Linked DNA regions of Oryctolagus cuniculus. The protein of the gene in region 2 interacts with the protein of the main gene of each other region in a pairwise test. Links are inferred from orthologs where the notes say so. Each region holds a gene or a part of one and is shown on either strand. Other genes may lie near its edges. The genes, in order: PKP2, DMRTB1, IL16 and QKI.

What was found.
Region 1: the proteins of DMRTB1 (region 2) and PKP2 interact in a two-hybrid assay, tested with the Homo sapiens proteins (2 studies listed by BioGRID). The link is inferred for Oryctolagus cuniculus from reciprocal best matches to the Homo sapiens genes DMRTB1 and PKP2.
Region 3: the proteins of DMRTB1 (region 2) and IL16 interact in a two-hybrid assay, tested with the Homo sapiens proteins (2 studies listed by BioGRID). The two-hybrid records come from large-scale screens. The link is inferred for Oryctolagus cuniculus from reciprocal best matches to the Homo sapiens genes DMRTB1 and IL16.
Region 4: the proteins of DMRTB1 (region 2) and QKI interact in a two-hybrid assay, tested with the Homo sapiens proteins (2 studies listed by BioGRID). The link is inferred for Oryctolagus cuniculus from reciprocal best matches to the Homo sapiens genes DMRTB1 and QKI.

What each region holds. Positions count from the first base shown.
Region 1 is NC_091440.1:128,925,738-128,929,301, forward strand, and holds part of PKP2 (plakophilin-2), read right to left. Parts: intron 2,013-3,564; coding exon 1,900-2,012; intron 816-1,899; coding exon 193-815; intron 1-192. UniProt on the Homo sapiens protein: A component of desmosome cell-cell junctions which are required for positive regulation of cellular adhesion.
Region 2 is NC_091438.1:119,536,236-119,539,746, forward strand, and holds part of DMRTB1 (doublesex- and mab-3-related transcription factor B1), read right to left. Parts: intron 3,042-3,511; coding exon 2,845-3,041; intron 1-2,844.
Region 3 is NC_091443.1:104,003,350-104,007,413, forward strand, and holds the start of IL16 (pro-interleukin-16), read right to left. Parts: upstream 2,850-4,064; 5' UTR 2,469-2,849; coding exon 2,429-2,468; intron 1-2,428. UniProt on the Homo sapiens protein: Interleukin-16 stimulates a migratory response in CD4+ lymphocytes, monocytes, and eosinophils. Primes CD4+ T-cells for IL-2 and IL-15 responsiveness. Also induces T-lymphocyte expression of interleukin 2 receptor. Ligand for CD4.
Region 4 is NC_091436.1:5,210,450-5,214,013, forward strand, and holds part of QKI (KH domain-containing RNA-binding protein QKI), read right to left. Parts: intron 3,140-3,564; coding exon 2,996-3,139; intron 1-2,995. UniProt on the Homo sapiens protein: RNA reader protein, which recognizes and binds specific RNAs, thereby regulating RNA metabolic processes, such as pre-mRNA splicing, circular RNA (circRNA) formation, mRNA export, mRNA stability and/or translation.

The DNA.
Region 1 (3,564 bases), on a different chromosome or scaffold from region 2:
GAGCCCGGGGGTAGGACACGGGCGGTCAGCACTGCGCACAGAACGGCGGACGGGGGGACAGCACGCCCTGGCCCCACACAGCCACCACCTGTGGCCGCGGGGCGCACACCTGGGCGCGCACGGGCCCATCTACCCGTGAGGGAGCTGTCTGAAAACCCTCCTCCCGCCCCGGCGCGTTTCCGTGGGACTCACCCGAGCTGCCCGTCGGGGAAGGCGCCGGCCGCCACCTGGCCGGCCGTCAGGTGCACCCTGCGGCCGCTGGTGTCCAGGGCGGCGCTGGGCCCGGCCTCCCTCAGCGTGCGCGCGCTCTGGAAGGAGCTCTGGTGCCAGGAGGCCCTGGCCGCCCTGCTCTGCTGCACGAGCGGCACGGGCCGCGGCGCCCAGCTCAGGTAGTTCTCCTTCTCCAGCAGGTTGCCCATGCTGTGACTGGTCGCGGGCCGCGGGTAGGTGAGCAGGGCCGGGCCGGGGGCCGCGCCGTCCAGCGCCGCGTACTGGTACTGTCTGTGGTAGGTGTCGTAATGGCGCCGCCGGCCGCCCGCGTGGCTCAGGCCCACGATCTCGGAGCGCGCGTAGCGGGGCGCGCCCTGCGGCACGGAGCGCACGCTCTCCGGGGGCCACGGGGCCGGGCCGGGCCGGCCGCGCACGCCGGGCTGGGAGTCGCTGGGCGCGTAGTACAGGCGCTCGGGGCTGCTGTCGGGGGACACCTCCAGCCTCCTCAGGGGCTGCCTCAGCGAGCGCTCCTCCACCGACTTCTGCGAGCTGTACTGCGCCGTCCCTCTGCGCCAGCGGCTCTCGAACGTGGCGGTGGTGCCGGCCTGGGGAGAAACGGGACAGGAGCAGGTGTCGCGCCGCGCAGCGCCCGCACTGCTACCCCCCACCACCCCCCAAGCCTTTCCCCTGGATCCTAAGAACCCCCACCCTTTGGTGGGGAAAGCCTTCTCTGAAACCCGCCTGGGCTAACCTGCGCAAACCCGCCTGGGCTAACCTGCGCGCTACTTCTGGATTAGGACCTAACGACGTTTCTGGGAGCTCGGGCCACCCGCAGCCCACGCGGTTCCTGGCTCCACGAGCGAGCCAGCTTCCTGGTTTGCAGCGTCATTTCTCAAGTGCTCGGCCCCTGCTGCCCACGAGCGAGACCCAGATGGAGTCCAGGGTCCTGGCTCCGGCCTGGCCTGGCACAACCCTGGCTGTTGCCCGCATTTGGGGGAAAAACTAGTAGATGAAAGATTCTCCCTCTCTCTGCCTTTCAAGTAGAATCCATAAATAGCGCTTTAAAGTCCTCACTTTTCCAAGGTGTCCACACAAAATTAGTGTTCCCAACAGTCGTTTAGGAAATGGTAATATGTAAGAACGGGAAACATTTTAAAAAAATCTAGCGAAGTTTGAAAAAATGTTTTCTCTTAAATATTTTTATTTATTTGAAAGGCACAGTGAGAGAGGGTGGGGGGAGCTCCCATCTACTGGTTTATTCTCCAAAATGGCAACAATGGCTGCGGCTGAACCTGCCCAAAGCCAAGAGCCAGGAGCTTCTTGTGTGTCTCCCACAAGGGTCCAAGCAAAGAGGAAAGGAGAGAGGGATGGATCTTCCATCCACTGACTCACTGGTTTACTCCCAAAATGGCAGCAAAGGCCAGGTCTGGGCCAGATGAAAGCCAGGAACTCCAGTGTAACCTCCCGTGTGGGTGACAGGGCCCCAGGCACGTGGGCCACCCTCCACTGCTTTCCCAGGGGCATTAGCAGACAGCTGCATCCCAAGTGGAGCAGCCAGGACTGGAACTGGTGCCCATAAGGCATTCTGGCATTATAGACAGAAGCTTAACACATTATACCACAACACAGTTCCTTGAAAACATTTTCCTGGCAATCTGATAACAAAGCCTGCCTTGTGGGGTCTCCTACCTTGAGCATGTCGTAGGTCTTGGTAACAGGGGACCGTCCACCAACAAAATCATTTTCCACCAAGTGCAGGTTGTAGACATACTCGGGAACACTGCTGGTTCGGTGCAGATTTCCTACAATGAAACAAACACTGAAATAACTCACTGCATAACAACTGTAGACTGGATTATTAAATTTAAGCAATTAAGGCTACTAGGAAAGAAGTGTTTATTAGTGTTTTTAAATGCTCTTACCACCACCCTCGGATGTGGCAAATGGTCAAAAAAGTTATCAAAACATTCTCTGCAACATTTTCAAAATGAAAGTTGATTTAAAAAATAGAGAACGAAGAGAAAGGGAGAGAGGACTGACAAAAATTCAAACCTGTTTGGTTGTTACAGCGTTGAAGAATTTGGTTTAGGGGTCAGGACACTGAGTTTCTCAAGCCAGAGAACTGTTCCCAGCCCCGGAAATCAGAAGCTTCTTGTACCAAGTAGGTGTAGGCAATAAAAATAACTGTGCCTCACAGTGCTAGATAAGAGCGCTTGTATAAACAAGGTGGGTCAGTGTGGTCGAAGAAAACACGGATCAGCTTCGCGCCAGGCTGCGGTATTTGGCAATACACACGAGCATTAGAAAAACGCCGCCTGGACCTACAAGTGCCGGCTGCTGTGGAATCACTGCTTCTCTGTGGTTGGGTGGTCTCACGAGAACAGCGAGGAGGAGGCAACCTGCTGACCGGCTCTGTGGGGCCTTAGAGGGATTCTCAACCGGCACGACTCTCAGAGCCGTTAAAATGCTCCTCTTTGGGCATCTGGGGGCAAGGCACTGTGTCCCCCCTTCTACCTCCTTTATCCTCCCACCTTTTTCCTCGTGTTTGGTAATCTTACTGCCTCATTCCCCCACCCGCACCCCAAGACTAATCAAAACTAAGACTTCCAACACCAAGAGTAGGTATTCAGCCTAACAGTTACGATGCCCATGCCCTACCCTGGAAGGTGTGGGTTTGATTCCAGCTTCCTGCTAGCCCGACAGTTACAATGCCCATGCCCTACCCTGGAAGGTGCGGGTTTGATTCCAGCTTCCTGCTAGCCTAACAGTTACGATGCCCATGCCCTACCCTGGAGCGTGTGGGTTTGATTCCAGCTTCCTGCTAGCCTGACAGTTACGATGCCCATGCCCTACCCTGGAAGGTGCGGGTTTGATTCCAGCTTCCTACTAGCCTAACAGTTACGATGCCCATGCCCTACCCTGGAAGGTGCGGGTTTGATTCCAGCTTCCTGCTAGCCTGACAGTTACGATGCCCATGCCCTACCCTGGAGCGTGTGGGTTTGATTCCAGCTTCCTGCTAGCCCGACAGTTACGATGCCCATGCCCTACCCTGGAAGGTGCGGGTTTGATTCCAGCTTCCTGCTAGCCTGACAGTTACGATGCCCATGCCCTACCCTGGAGCGTGTGGGTTTGATTCCAGCTTCCTGCTAGCCTGACAGTTACGATGCCCATGCCCTACCCTGGAGCGTGTGGGTTTGATTCCAGCTTCCTGCTAGCCTGACAGTTACGATGCCCATGCCCTACCCTGGAAGGTGCGGGTTTGATTCCAGCTTCCTGCTAGCCTGACAGTTACGATGCCCATGCCCTGCCCTGGAAGGTGTGGGTTTGATTCCAGCTTCCTACTAGCCTGACAGT
Region 2 (3,511 bases):
CACTGCCCAGGCTGGGTGTCAAGGAGCCCCAGGGTCCTATAAGATACTGTCAAGTTCAAGTTGTTAAAGCGTTCTTAGGGACAGCAGTGAAGATGCTGCTTGGGATGCCTGTGTCACATAACTGGAGGGCCTGTCCCGAGCGAGTCTGCTCCCCATTCTAGCTGCCTGCCCAGAGCACCGGGGGTGGGGTGGGAGGGGCAGCACATGATGGAGGACTTGCACCTGCACCACCCACTCAGAGACCCAGGCTGAGTCTCAGGCTCCTGCCTTGACTGGACCCAGCCCTGGCCGCTGTGGGCATTTGAGGAGTGACCCAGTGGATAGGAGATCTGTCTCTATTTCTCTCTCTCTCTGTCTTTGAAAAGTATTTTTTAAAAAGTGAAAATAAATTAGAGGATTCCTTGTTTTAAAAAACCATTCTCAGAGCAGTGCTATGGCGTAATGGGTAAAGCCACCACCTGCAGTACAGGCATTCCATTTAGGTGCCAGTTCAAATCCCAGCTACTCCATTTCCTGTCTGGCATTCTGCTATGGCCTGGGAAAGCAGTAGAAGATGGCCCAAGCCCTTGGGCCCCACACCCACATGGGAGACCTGGAAGAAGCTCCTATTGGCTTCAGATCAGTCCAGCTCCAGCTGTTGCAGCCATCTGGAGAGTGAACCAGCAGATGGAAGACCTCTCTCTCTGCCTTTCAAATAAATAAATAAATCTTAAAAAAAAAAAGTTCTCAGACAAGTGAGTCTGAAGAACTCCCACACTGTTTGCCACACTTGAGGGTCTCACAGGAGCCTATTAAAGGCTCTGAGGTTTGCAAACATCTCCTTCGATTACGCCAATGCTTCCTGATTTTGACCACAGGGAAGCACCGAAAGTCCACTCTTAAACACCTACTGCGTGCCAGACCCTGCATTAGGCGTCTTCAGGTGTCACACCTTGGTTAATCAGTATCACAGAGAGACGGGTGCTCCCACCCATCCCACAGAGGGCAGGGAGCATCCCCAGGTCCCAGGGCTGGTGGACAGGGAGGGGGGACTGACCCTGGGGCTGTCCAGCTCCAGGGCTGTGCTCTGCTGTGGAGAGGAGCCCAGAGGGAGCGCAGCGATACGCAGGGCAGGGATGGGCCCAGGGACAGGGACGGGGCGGAGGCAAGGACAGGACAGGATGAGAGGAACTCCTGGGCTCTCGGGTTTGAAACAGCCTCGCGAATAAAGGCCTGATCCTCTCTCCAGACGTGAGGGGGAGGGAGGGTGGATCATTAGAGCTTTAATTCCAAGCTGCTCAGCCAAGTCTACCCCTCCCCGGATCACAGCTCCTGTCTGGGCCTGTGGCAGCAGCTCGGGGCCAGATAACCAGCTGGGATCACACTCGGAACGAGGGCGTCTGGCAGGCCTGTCAATCACAGCCCGCCCTGGACTCCAGGCCTGGGCTTCTGTGGGAGCAGCTGGTGCGGGCCCCACTTGGCCTGAGCCCTCTCTGTGTGGAGGCCAGAGACCCCTTGCTTTCCCTGGCCTGCAATGGGGCGGCTGAAGGAGTGCCCACAGGTTTCAGTGGTGCTGAGGATGCAGGGCCACGCTTGCCCACCTCTGCGTGAGACATGTTTGGGGCAGAAGAGAGCCCAGTGCCAGAGTCAGGGTGACCAGGGACGCATCCTGGCTCGTCACCAGCCAGCCGTGTCGTGTGAATCCCAGTCCCTCACCCCCCAGTTCCACGACCTTGGACAGAAACTTAACTTGTCCGAACCTTTTCTGGCAACTCTGCCATGGGGTGCCGACACCCACCTTGAAGGCTCGTAAAAGGGCCGGCCGGCGCCCAGGGAATGATCAAGACCAGCGGTTGTCAAACGTTTTCCCCTCGAATCAATGGGAAACGAGTGCTAAGTCAAACTCCAGGATACCGGAAGCAGCCAGAGGAGACGCTGGGGTGGAGCTGGAGCGAGCGCACTGCCCTGGGAGCCTGGAGGGTGGGCAAGGCGGCGACCCCAGGGACCCCTCCAAGCTCTGTGGCAGTGACTTCCTTCCTCAAATGCCAAGCTTGCCTCTCCTGAATCCTGCTCCTCACTCCTCTCCCCCTCCCCTGCAGGGGCAGTGTCAGTGGTCCCTGTTCCCACCAACCGCTCTGTCCCACAGGCCCAGGAAGCCACAGTCAGTCCTGGCCTCTGGGCATGCTGCAGCCCTGCAGGTCCTCTGAGATGGCCGAATCGGAGTGGCCTGGAAACCACCCTGGCCTGGGAGCAGCCGGCACCCGAGGCCGCGGAACCTGGCCATTCCTGCCGCGTGCTCCACACAGCAGGGCTGAGCCCCTTCTCACACGCGTGCGGTTCGGAAGCCCAGGCTCCAAGAGAGCACCTGGTACCCGCGTCCGTCCCCCTGGTAAGAGGACTGTATCTCACTCCTATCTGCAGGAGGAAGGTTTTCAGAATTTTCAGCTCAAATGCCACCTCTTCCTGAATGTCCTCCGAGGTTTCAGCTGGGCTCTCTCCCTGTGTTCAGAGGACCTATGTCTGGTCCTGGCTCTGCCTTAAACCTTGTAGTCCCAGGGAAGTGACGTCTGTCCCTGGTGCCCAGCAAAGTGAAGAGCTTTTCCACCCTCAGTGCTCAACCAGGCAGGGCTTGTGGTCACCCAAGTGCCCAGAGCAAGCACCTGCCACAGCCCGGGCCAAGTGGCCTGGAAGTGTCCACACATGCGCTCTCAGAGACACCCACTGCACTCACATGCTCAGGGCTGTGTCCCTCCTGCTGGTACGGGAGCTCGGCACGAGTGGCCGCCCCGGTGATGACTTAGGATCTATAAGGGCAAGGGCAGCTGGGGTAGGAGGCCCTGGAAGGCAGCCAGGAACAGGACTCACCAAGCTGCCTCCGTGATACTGGGTGCAGGAGATGTGCCGGAAGCCGGTCTGCAGCGGGATCCCAGGGGGCGGGGCCACATCCTGGTAGCCCAGCGGGAACGGGCAGTAGGCATGCATGCTCGGGTACAGCTTGGAAGGCTCTCGCTCCAGGTACTCGGCCCCCATGGCACGATCCAAGCTGAAGTTCACAGGGAGCCCTGAAGAAGGCGGGCAGCAAGGCAGGTGTTAGAAACGCAGAGCTGGGCTCGGCCCATCACGCTGCTGCCCCGGGGCAGCCATACAGCCATGCTCGGATCCACTTACAGGGCTCCGGCACCCATCGGGCTTTTGACCTCCCCACTTTGGGCCCCTTCAGCTCCACCCAGGGGCTCTTAGAAGACGCTTCAGCACAGCCATGGAACCCCCAAGGCTGGCGCCGGCCACCAACTACAGCCTCATCACGTCCCCAGGCAGAGCGGCCACAATGAGGCCCTGGCAGACGCTGCCCCCTCAGCTCCACTCCCACTCTGCCTGCAGAGGTGTTCGGCCCAGGCTGTCCCTGACGGGCGAGGGGCCCACTGAGGATTCTTCAACCTTCTGAGGGTGGGAAAGTAATGTGCACTTGGTAGAAACCGCCTGTCAGGGCTGAGCTTTCCCAGGCGAGCTGAGCCCTGCCGGAGCACCGGCT
Region 3 (4,064 bases), on a different chromosome or scaffold from region 2:
TCCTACGGCATCGTACGGGTCTGAAGGATCAGAGACACATGGCGGTGTCTCGGGGGTGGGGGGTCACCTTTGCCAGGAGAGGAATGTCAGGGTAGAGGAGCGGCGAGCATCAGCCCACTCCTCAAAGTCCCCTCCCCACTGCCCAGCCCCAGGCACGGCCTCCCTCTGCTTCCCACAGGCCCAGCCCCTCCCTGCTGACAGCTGGCCCCTGTCACAAGGTCCCCCAGAGGCAGGAACCGTGGCACTGGTGGCCCTGTGACCTTTGGGGGGGCGCGCCCAGTCCCAGGGTCAAGTGCTCAGAACCTGCACATGTGCGATGGCAGAGCGGGAGGGGTTCGGGAGGCATCTCCAGTTCACCCTGCTTCCACCCACTTTACAGATGGGCACGCTGAGTCCTAGGGAGGCGGCATATCCAAGGTCATGGAACTGCCTAACAGTTTAACCAGACGGGTGTCTATCCAAACATTTAACGCCCGATCTCCTGACAGCTGAACTCAGAGAGAAGAAGGCATTCAGTGAAATTCATTTTTTTCAATATTTACTTATTTATTTGAAAGGCAGTTACAGAGAAAGGGTGGAAAGGAGGGAGAGAGAAAAAGAGAAGAGAGAGAGGTTGCCTATCAAGTGGTTCACAACCCAAATGGCCACAACCCAGGGGCTGGACCACACTGAAGCCAGGAGTTCAATACTCCATCCAGGGCTCCCACGCAGGTCCAGGGGCCCAAGGACTTGGGCCATCATCTGCTGCCTTCTCAGGTGCATTAGATCAGAAAGCGGAGCAGCTGGGACTCGAATCAGGGTCCATGGGGAATGCCAGTGACCTAACACACCACCCCACTGATGAAATGCATTGAGTGGGATTTGGAAGGGGGGCGCCCAGGGGAGCCCACCTCACTAGGCACTAGGTAAGGCACTGGTTCCCACAGCTGACACCAGGGCTCCCTGGACAGCTCCAAACCAAGTACCTCTCCAGGAACCGTCCTCAGCCCCAGCCCCCGGGCACAGGGGCACAGAGCCCCGTGGGCTGGCTGGATCCACTGCCCGTGTCCAGTGCTGCCTCCCTCCCCTTGCTGGCACCCTCCGGGGAAATCCCCATGCACACACCTGCCTGCTATCTGGGAAACCTGCTCAGGGCCTGTAGGGCCTCCCTGGGCATGAAAGAGAGCTCACAGCACTGTGCTGCAGGGGCTAAGCTGCCGCGTGGGACGCCCGCCTCCCACGTCATCGGCTCTGCTTCCGATCCAGCTCCCTGCTGATGCACACCCTGGGAGGCAGCAGGCAAGGGCTGAAGCATTTGGGTTCCTGCTGCCCACGTGGGAGATCCAGATGGAGTCCCTGGCTCCCGGCTTTGGCTGTTGATGGCACTTGGGGAGTGAACCAGTGGGTGAAAGATTCTCTCTCTCTCTCCTCTCTCTTCTCTCTCTCTCTCTCTTTCTATCCCTCTACCTTTCAAATAAATAAAACTAAAAACCAGTTCCTTCAGCTCCTGACTTCCCGGCAGGTGGGAATGTATGGTGGCCGCAGAGAGGTTGAATTCCTCTCCCGAGAGGAAGCGGCCAGCGGGTCCCAGAGCCGGGTCCCCTGCGCCACCCCCTCCCCTCGCCGGCCTCCCGTCCCAGTTCGCAGGGGGGCTCCGCTGGACACTGGCCCAGATCGCCGTGGCCCCCCGCCGCATCTGCCTGGATTGGAAAGCCAGGCTGTGCCTTTGACTCTGCCTCTCTCTCCTTGTTAAAGAAAACCATGTGTTTATTCCCGATTGCCAAAGTTACAGCAGCACTGAAGTCTTGCCAGGGTGGACTTGAAAGCTTGCGCCAAAGGGTTAAAATCCTTCGCCCTGATGTCTGCTTACGTTTCCCAGCGAAAATGAAAGACTGCTGGTGGTGGTGGCGGCGGTGGGAGGGGGCTGTTCTGAGAAATGACCTCATCTATCAGTCCGTACCTGCTGGAAGCCAGGGGCTCCCCCCACCACCACCAGCTCTGCTCCGCGACTCTGTCCCCTCCAGGAGCCGAACAGCCCCCCTCCAACTGACCGGAGCTCAGCCGGTGGGGACCCCAAGAACTCTATCATTAAGAGTCTCCCCTGGCCCTGGGCGTGGCCAGCCACCCTCAAAGAGGACGTGAGGGCACTTAGAAAGCTGTCCCATCTCCGTGCCGATCCTTGGCCCCACTGCCCCCCACCCTGTGCGGTGAGCGCTCCTCAGCCCTCCGCGCACCGCCCGCCGGGTCCTGCTGCACCGCCCACGTGTGCACGCCCAGGCTCACACGTGTGCACACGCGTACTCACACGTGCGCACACACACTCACCCGCCACGGGGTCACCGCAAGCCAGGCTCCCGCCCCTGTGTTAGGAGGTCAGAGAGGCAAGGCGAGCCCCCACCACCACCCCCGCGTCCCACCTCCCCGGGCCCCCTCCCCGCCCGGTTCTTACCGTTCTCCCTTCTCGGGAAGACCCTCCGCTGCAGACTCATGCCCAGCCGGGCACGGTCCAGTCCCCGCACTCCAGGATCCAGCTGCCGTGGGGGGATCCCCAGCAGCCCCTAGCACGGGGTGGATTTGAATATGACTTAAAACTACAAAGTAACTCCTCGTTAGAACTGTTTTTCCCCAGCAGGGAGAGAGGGAGAAAAAAAAAATCCTCTCTCTCTGCCAGAAAATCTTTAACGTTTCACAACGGCCGCTTCCAGCTCCTGCCCGTCTTGGGAAGCCAATATGTATAAAGGCGATGCTATTTCACTGGCTCAAGCCCTTCCCTGCACCACAAACAGAAATGCAAAACCTCAGACTTTCCCTGGGACGCGGAGCTCTGTGTGGACATCCTTCCACTCCCTGGTCCCACCCCTGCCAAGCCCTCCGTCTCGGCACCCCCCACCCCTACGTGTTGCCTTTTTTTTTTTTTTAACTGCATCCTGGGGTGTTTCTGCGATGGCAGGGGACAAACACAACACCTCCGCTGCTTGCCCAGAATCGAAGTGATTCATCCTCTCCCTCGCACACACCACACACAAACACAGCCCCTGTGGAGTCCGAGTGAACACGCTTTTCATAAAATCTTCCTGGGGCGTGGACGGGGCGACGGCTGGTGAATGCAGCCTGTGTCCCGAGAAGGGCAGTGGGAGGTGGAGGCTGACTTTGGGCCAGACACACAGAAGGCGCCTGGGCCCCCACCCCCTCGCCAGGGCGCGCAGGGGAGGCCAGGAGAGGGGACGGATGGACGGACGGACGCTGCTGTGACATGCTTTGCCCACTTTCCCCCTGCCTGCCCTCTGCTTCCAGCAAACTTTATTTTTGGACAAGAAGCACTAGTATTTGAAACGGTCGATTGGGCTGCTGGGTTCAATAAATCTGAAAAGACCGGGAGAAGCCTGAAGGAGTGGGCAGGCAGAGCTGGAACCCAGGCAAGAGTGACAGCCGTGCTGTGACAAGGGTGCTGGGGCTTTCTGGACATGGTGGTGGGACATTGGCTGAAAGAGAGAGCCTCTCTTTGGGCGGAGACAGAAAGGAAAAAAAAAACTCACTAGGGAAGCCAGTGACAGCAACCCTGACTTTGTTCCTGGGTCATCTGTCCCTGCCAAGAGCCCCAGGTCTTCTTGGGTGGAAACTTGTCTGACTGATGTCACTCTGTCACTCAGGGCCACACAGTGACTGTCCCTGTCCCCAAATAGACCTGCGGTAAGTAATGAGGGTGCTGGAACACTCCCCGAGAGTGGCCCTCACTCCAGGGCAGCGATGGGTGCCGAGCGAGGGCTTCCTGGTGCCAGCCCAGGCTATGCGACAGCAGGTGCCATGGCTGTGCCCTGAGCACAAGAACCAGACTCTGCCCTGGGATTCGGTCACCCCCAGCTGCAGCAACACTAGGAAATAAGCTGGAGGAACAGGCCATGAGTGGCAGAAACTGAGACAAAATCATAGAGGAAGACTAACTGTCGCAGGAAGCTGCCTGTGTTCTCTTGTAGATGAATAGAACAGCTTACAAAACAGGTGTACAGCATGGTGCACCAGCAGAGAGAAAACTGGATTGGTTCAGTGGAGCAGCTGGTTTTTTTGTTTTTATCTGCATCACGAGC
Region 4 (3,564 bases), on a different chromosome or scaffold from region 2:
TAAAGCAAACATGTTTCTCCTAAGACGACAATGGGGTTAACTTTTACAAAGACAGTAATTATCAATTATGGAGAGGTTTTGTTTTGTTTAAATTTCTGCTTAACCCTGGTATCACCAAATATTTAATAATGTTCACCTTAATTAAAACAAATTCTCTAATACAGTATTCATGTCATAATAAACATATTCAATAAAATAAATAAGAAATTACTGCAAGTGTTAAATCACTGGATAGAAGCCAAACCAAAAAGTCTGTACTTTTTATCCTATGATTTATAATTCTAAGAAAGTTTTATTACCTCACTGTAAGTAATTTCAAAAAGCACAATTTAAAATTGTTACAATCTGTTCAATAACAATACTAAATTCTTCTATAGAAGATAAATAGGTTTATCATCAAAAGTGAAATTTTCTCCTTCAGGACATAAATTAAGCTTTTTAAAGTTTCTGTCATTCTTTTTATGAACTACCCTACCACCTTTTCATATTCAAAGACAAACCACTTTTAAAACAAAAAGTTCTGGGGCCAGCCCTGTGACGCAGCTGGTTAACACCCTGGCCTGTAGCGCCAGCATCCCATATGGGAGCTGGTTTGAGACCCAGCTGCTCCACTTCTGACCCAGCTCTCTGCTATGGCCTGGGAAAGCAGCAGAAGATGGTCCAAGTCTTTGGGCTCCTGCACCCGTGTAAGAGGCTCAGAAGCAGCTCCTGATTCCTAGCTTCAGATCGGCACAGCTCCGGCCAGTGCGGCCAATTGGAAAGTGAACCATTGGGTGGAAGATATCTCTCTCTCTCTCTCTCTCTCCGTAACTCTGACTTTCGAATAAATAAATCTTTAAAATAAATAAATGTAAAACAAAAAGTTCTTTGGAGATTGATTGCTATGACTCTCACTTTATAAACACATAAACAGATACAAATAAGTTGGAAATTTCTCCTACTTACACATCCAGGTGGAACTAATAGCCCAATATGCTTACAAAAATTTTTTTATATAGCTTACTGAATACAACACATTTATTAAAGAAAAGTTATACAATTACATGGTATAATAGTGGGCAAACAGAAATTCTAATTTATGCTCAACCTACTTATTTGTATTCCTTATAAGGTCAACAGAACTTAAATGAAATTTTTCCTTCCAAGGAATTAATTTTGTAAAGTTAATGGAAAGTGTATATAATTGGTGAGTTTACTTTTAGAAGACACTAGCAGGGTAATAAAGATTAGACTATCTGGAAAATAAAAACAGCAGATGCCATATTCATTTATGTCAATGTTAATACATTTTTGGTGGGCAAAGTACTAACAGTGTTATTAGTTTTTCAATGGCAATTAGGGTCTATCCTTCCATGTATTCTTACTATTGTAAAACAAAATTTAATAGTGACTCAGAAAACCAGTAATTTTCACTTCCTGTTGAAAAAGATAATAGTCTAGTAATAGTTGTAATCGCCATTTTAAAAATTACTAAAGGGTTACCTATTAATGAGAAGCACACCCAAAGGGAGAAGAGTAAAGAAAATGGAATGGAGGGAAAGAAGAGAACACAAAATTGTGTCTGAGTAATTTCTTACGAGATGTCACCCTCAAAAAGCATTCAATATCCTATTTACGACCTCTAAATATGAAATACAATAGTTTTATGATCATAGAAATAATAGTAAAGTTAAAAAGCTGCTCTGAATCATGCTTTACATTAGTAAAAGCTATCGTTTAAGTTTATTAAGATGACTTTTTATTACATTAAGGGAAAGTTTCAATTAATGTTCACTAATCTTTCTATAAGAGATAATGAGATGCTACCCCGAGTACCTGTCACTCATAGACAATTCAAATTACATGCTCCTACTAACACATCCCACCTACCTTGCATAAAAGTTAGTGGTAGAGACATCTACAAACTTACTACTTGTTCACAATAAGAAACAGCTTTTGAAAAAGAACAGCTTTCATTACCTTGCTGATGCTGTGCCTACATTCTCCTCGTAAATATAGTGATTCAAAAGACAGCATTTTTGAGAAGTCATATTGTGTCTGCTACTTCCTGCATAACTTCTTTACAAAAATTTATGGGAAAATGGGGGCCAGCGCTGTGGCACAGTGGGTTAACGCCCTGGCCTGAAGCACCAGCATCCCACATGGGCGCCGGGTCGAGACCTGGCTACTCCAATTCCAATCCAGCTCTCTGCTGTGGTCTGGGAAAGCAGTAGAAGATGGCCCAAGTCCTTGGGCCCCTGCACCCAGGTGGGAGACCCGGAAGAAGCTCCTGGCTCCTGACTTCAGATTGGCGCAGCTCTGGCCATTGCGGCCAACTGGGGAGTGAACCAGCAGATGGAAGACCTCTCTCTCTCTCCTCTCTCTGTGTAACTCTGCCTTTCAAATAAATAAATAAATCTTAAATACATATATATATGTGTGTGTGTGTGTGTGTGTGTGTGTGTGTATATATATATATATATACACACATGAAAAGGCTTTCCCAGTTAAGAATGTCAGCAATGTCTATGGTTTGCCCATTAGACTAGCACTAAATGAGCTATAAATTATTTTTATATTTTGTGGTTAAATGATAACCTATTCAGGGCCGGCGCCGTGGCTCACTAGGTTAATCCTCCGCCTGCAGCACGGGCATTCCATATGGGCACCAAGTTCTAGTCCCGATTGCTCCTCTTCCAGGCCAGCTCTCTGCTGTGGCCTGGGAGGGCAGTGGAGGATGGCCCAAGTACTTGGGCCCCTGCACCCGCATGGGAGACCAGGAAGAAGCACCTGGCTCCTGGCTTCAGATTGGCACAGTGCTGGCCGTAGCGGCCATTTAGGGGGTGAACCAACGGAAGGAAGATCTTTCTCTTTGTCTCTCTCTCTGTCTATAACTCTACCTGTCAAATAAATTTTTAAAAAATGATAACCTATTCTCCATTAGACTAAACAGCCATTAATTTAAAAAACCCTGAGAAGTGAGACCGAAATTTAAGATTTGGAAATAACTACTTACTGCAGGTACCAATAATTTCTTCACTTCCTCGACTGCTCTCTTCAGCTTGATTTCTGCTCTGTTCTGAGCATCTTCCACAGTGATTAGAACATGTAAGTCTTCATTTAGATGCTCCCAATTGGGTTTGCCTCTATTTTGCTCCTCCTAAAAAAATTACAAAATACAGTGTTATAAATTTTTCTCTTTAAAGAAACTATAACTGCATTATGTTGCCATGGTAACATTACAAACCTTATGAATTATTTCCCTCCCCCCACCACACACACACACACACACAGCTTGGGAATAAGACTACTAGGTTAAATGACAGATCCTATAATGAACACTTGTTGAACACCTACTCTGTATAGGAATGGAGCCAGATGCTAAGGATACAATAGTTGCATATGAAATCCCACCCTTTATAGAGCTTCTAAGTACAAACAAACTTTATATAAGGTATCACTAAATTATCAGGAGAAACAGTTTGAGAAGCAGGTTATTATTTCCAATTTCCTTAGGCGTAAACAGAATGTTGTCAAGGATAAGAAAGACAATTGCAAAAGAAGTGCTATTAAATAGCATATCAA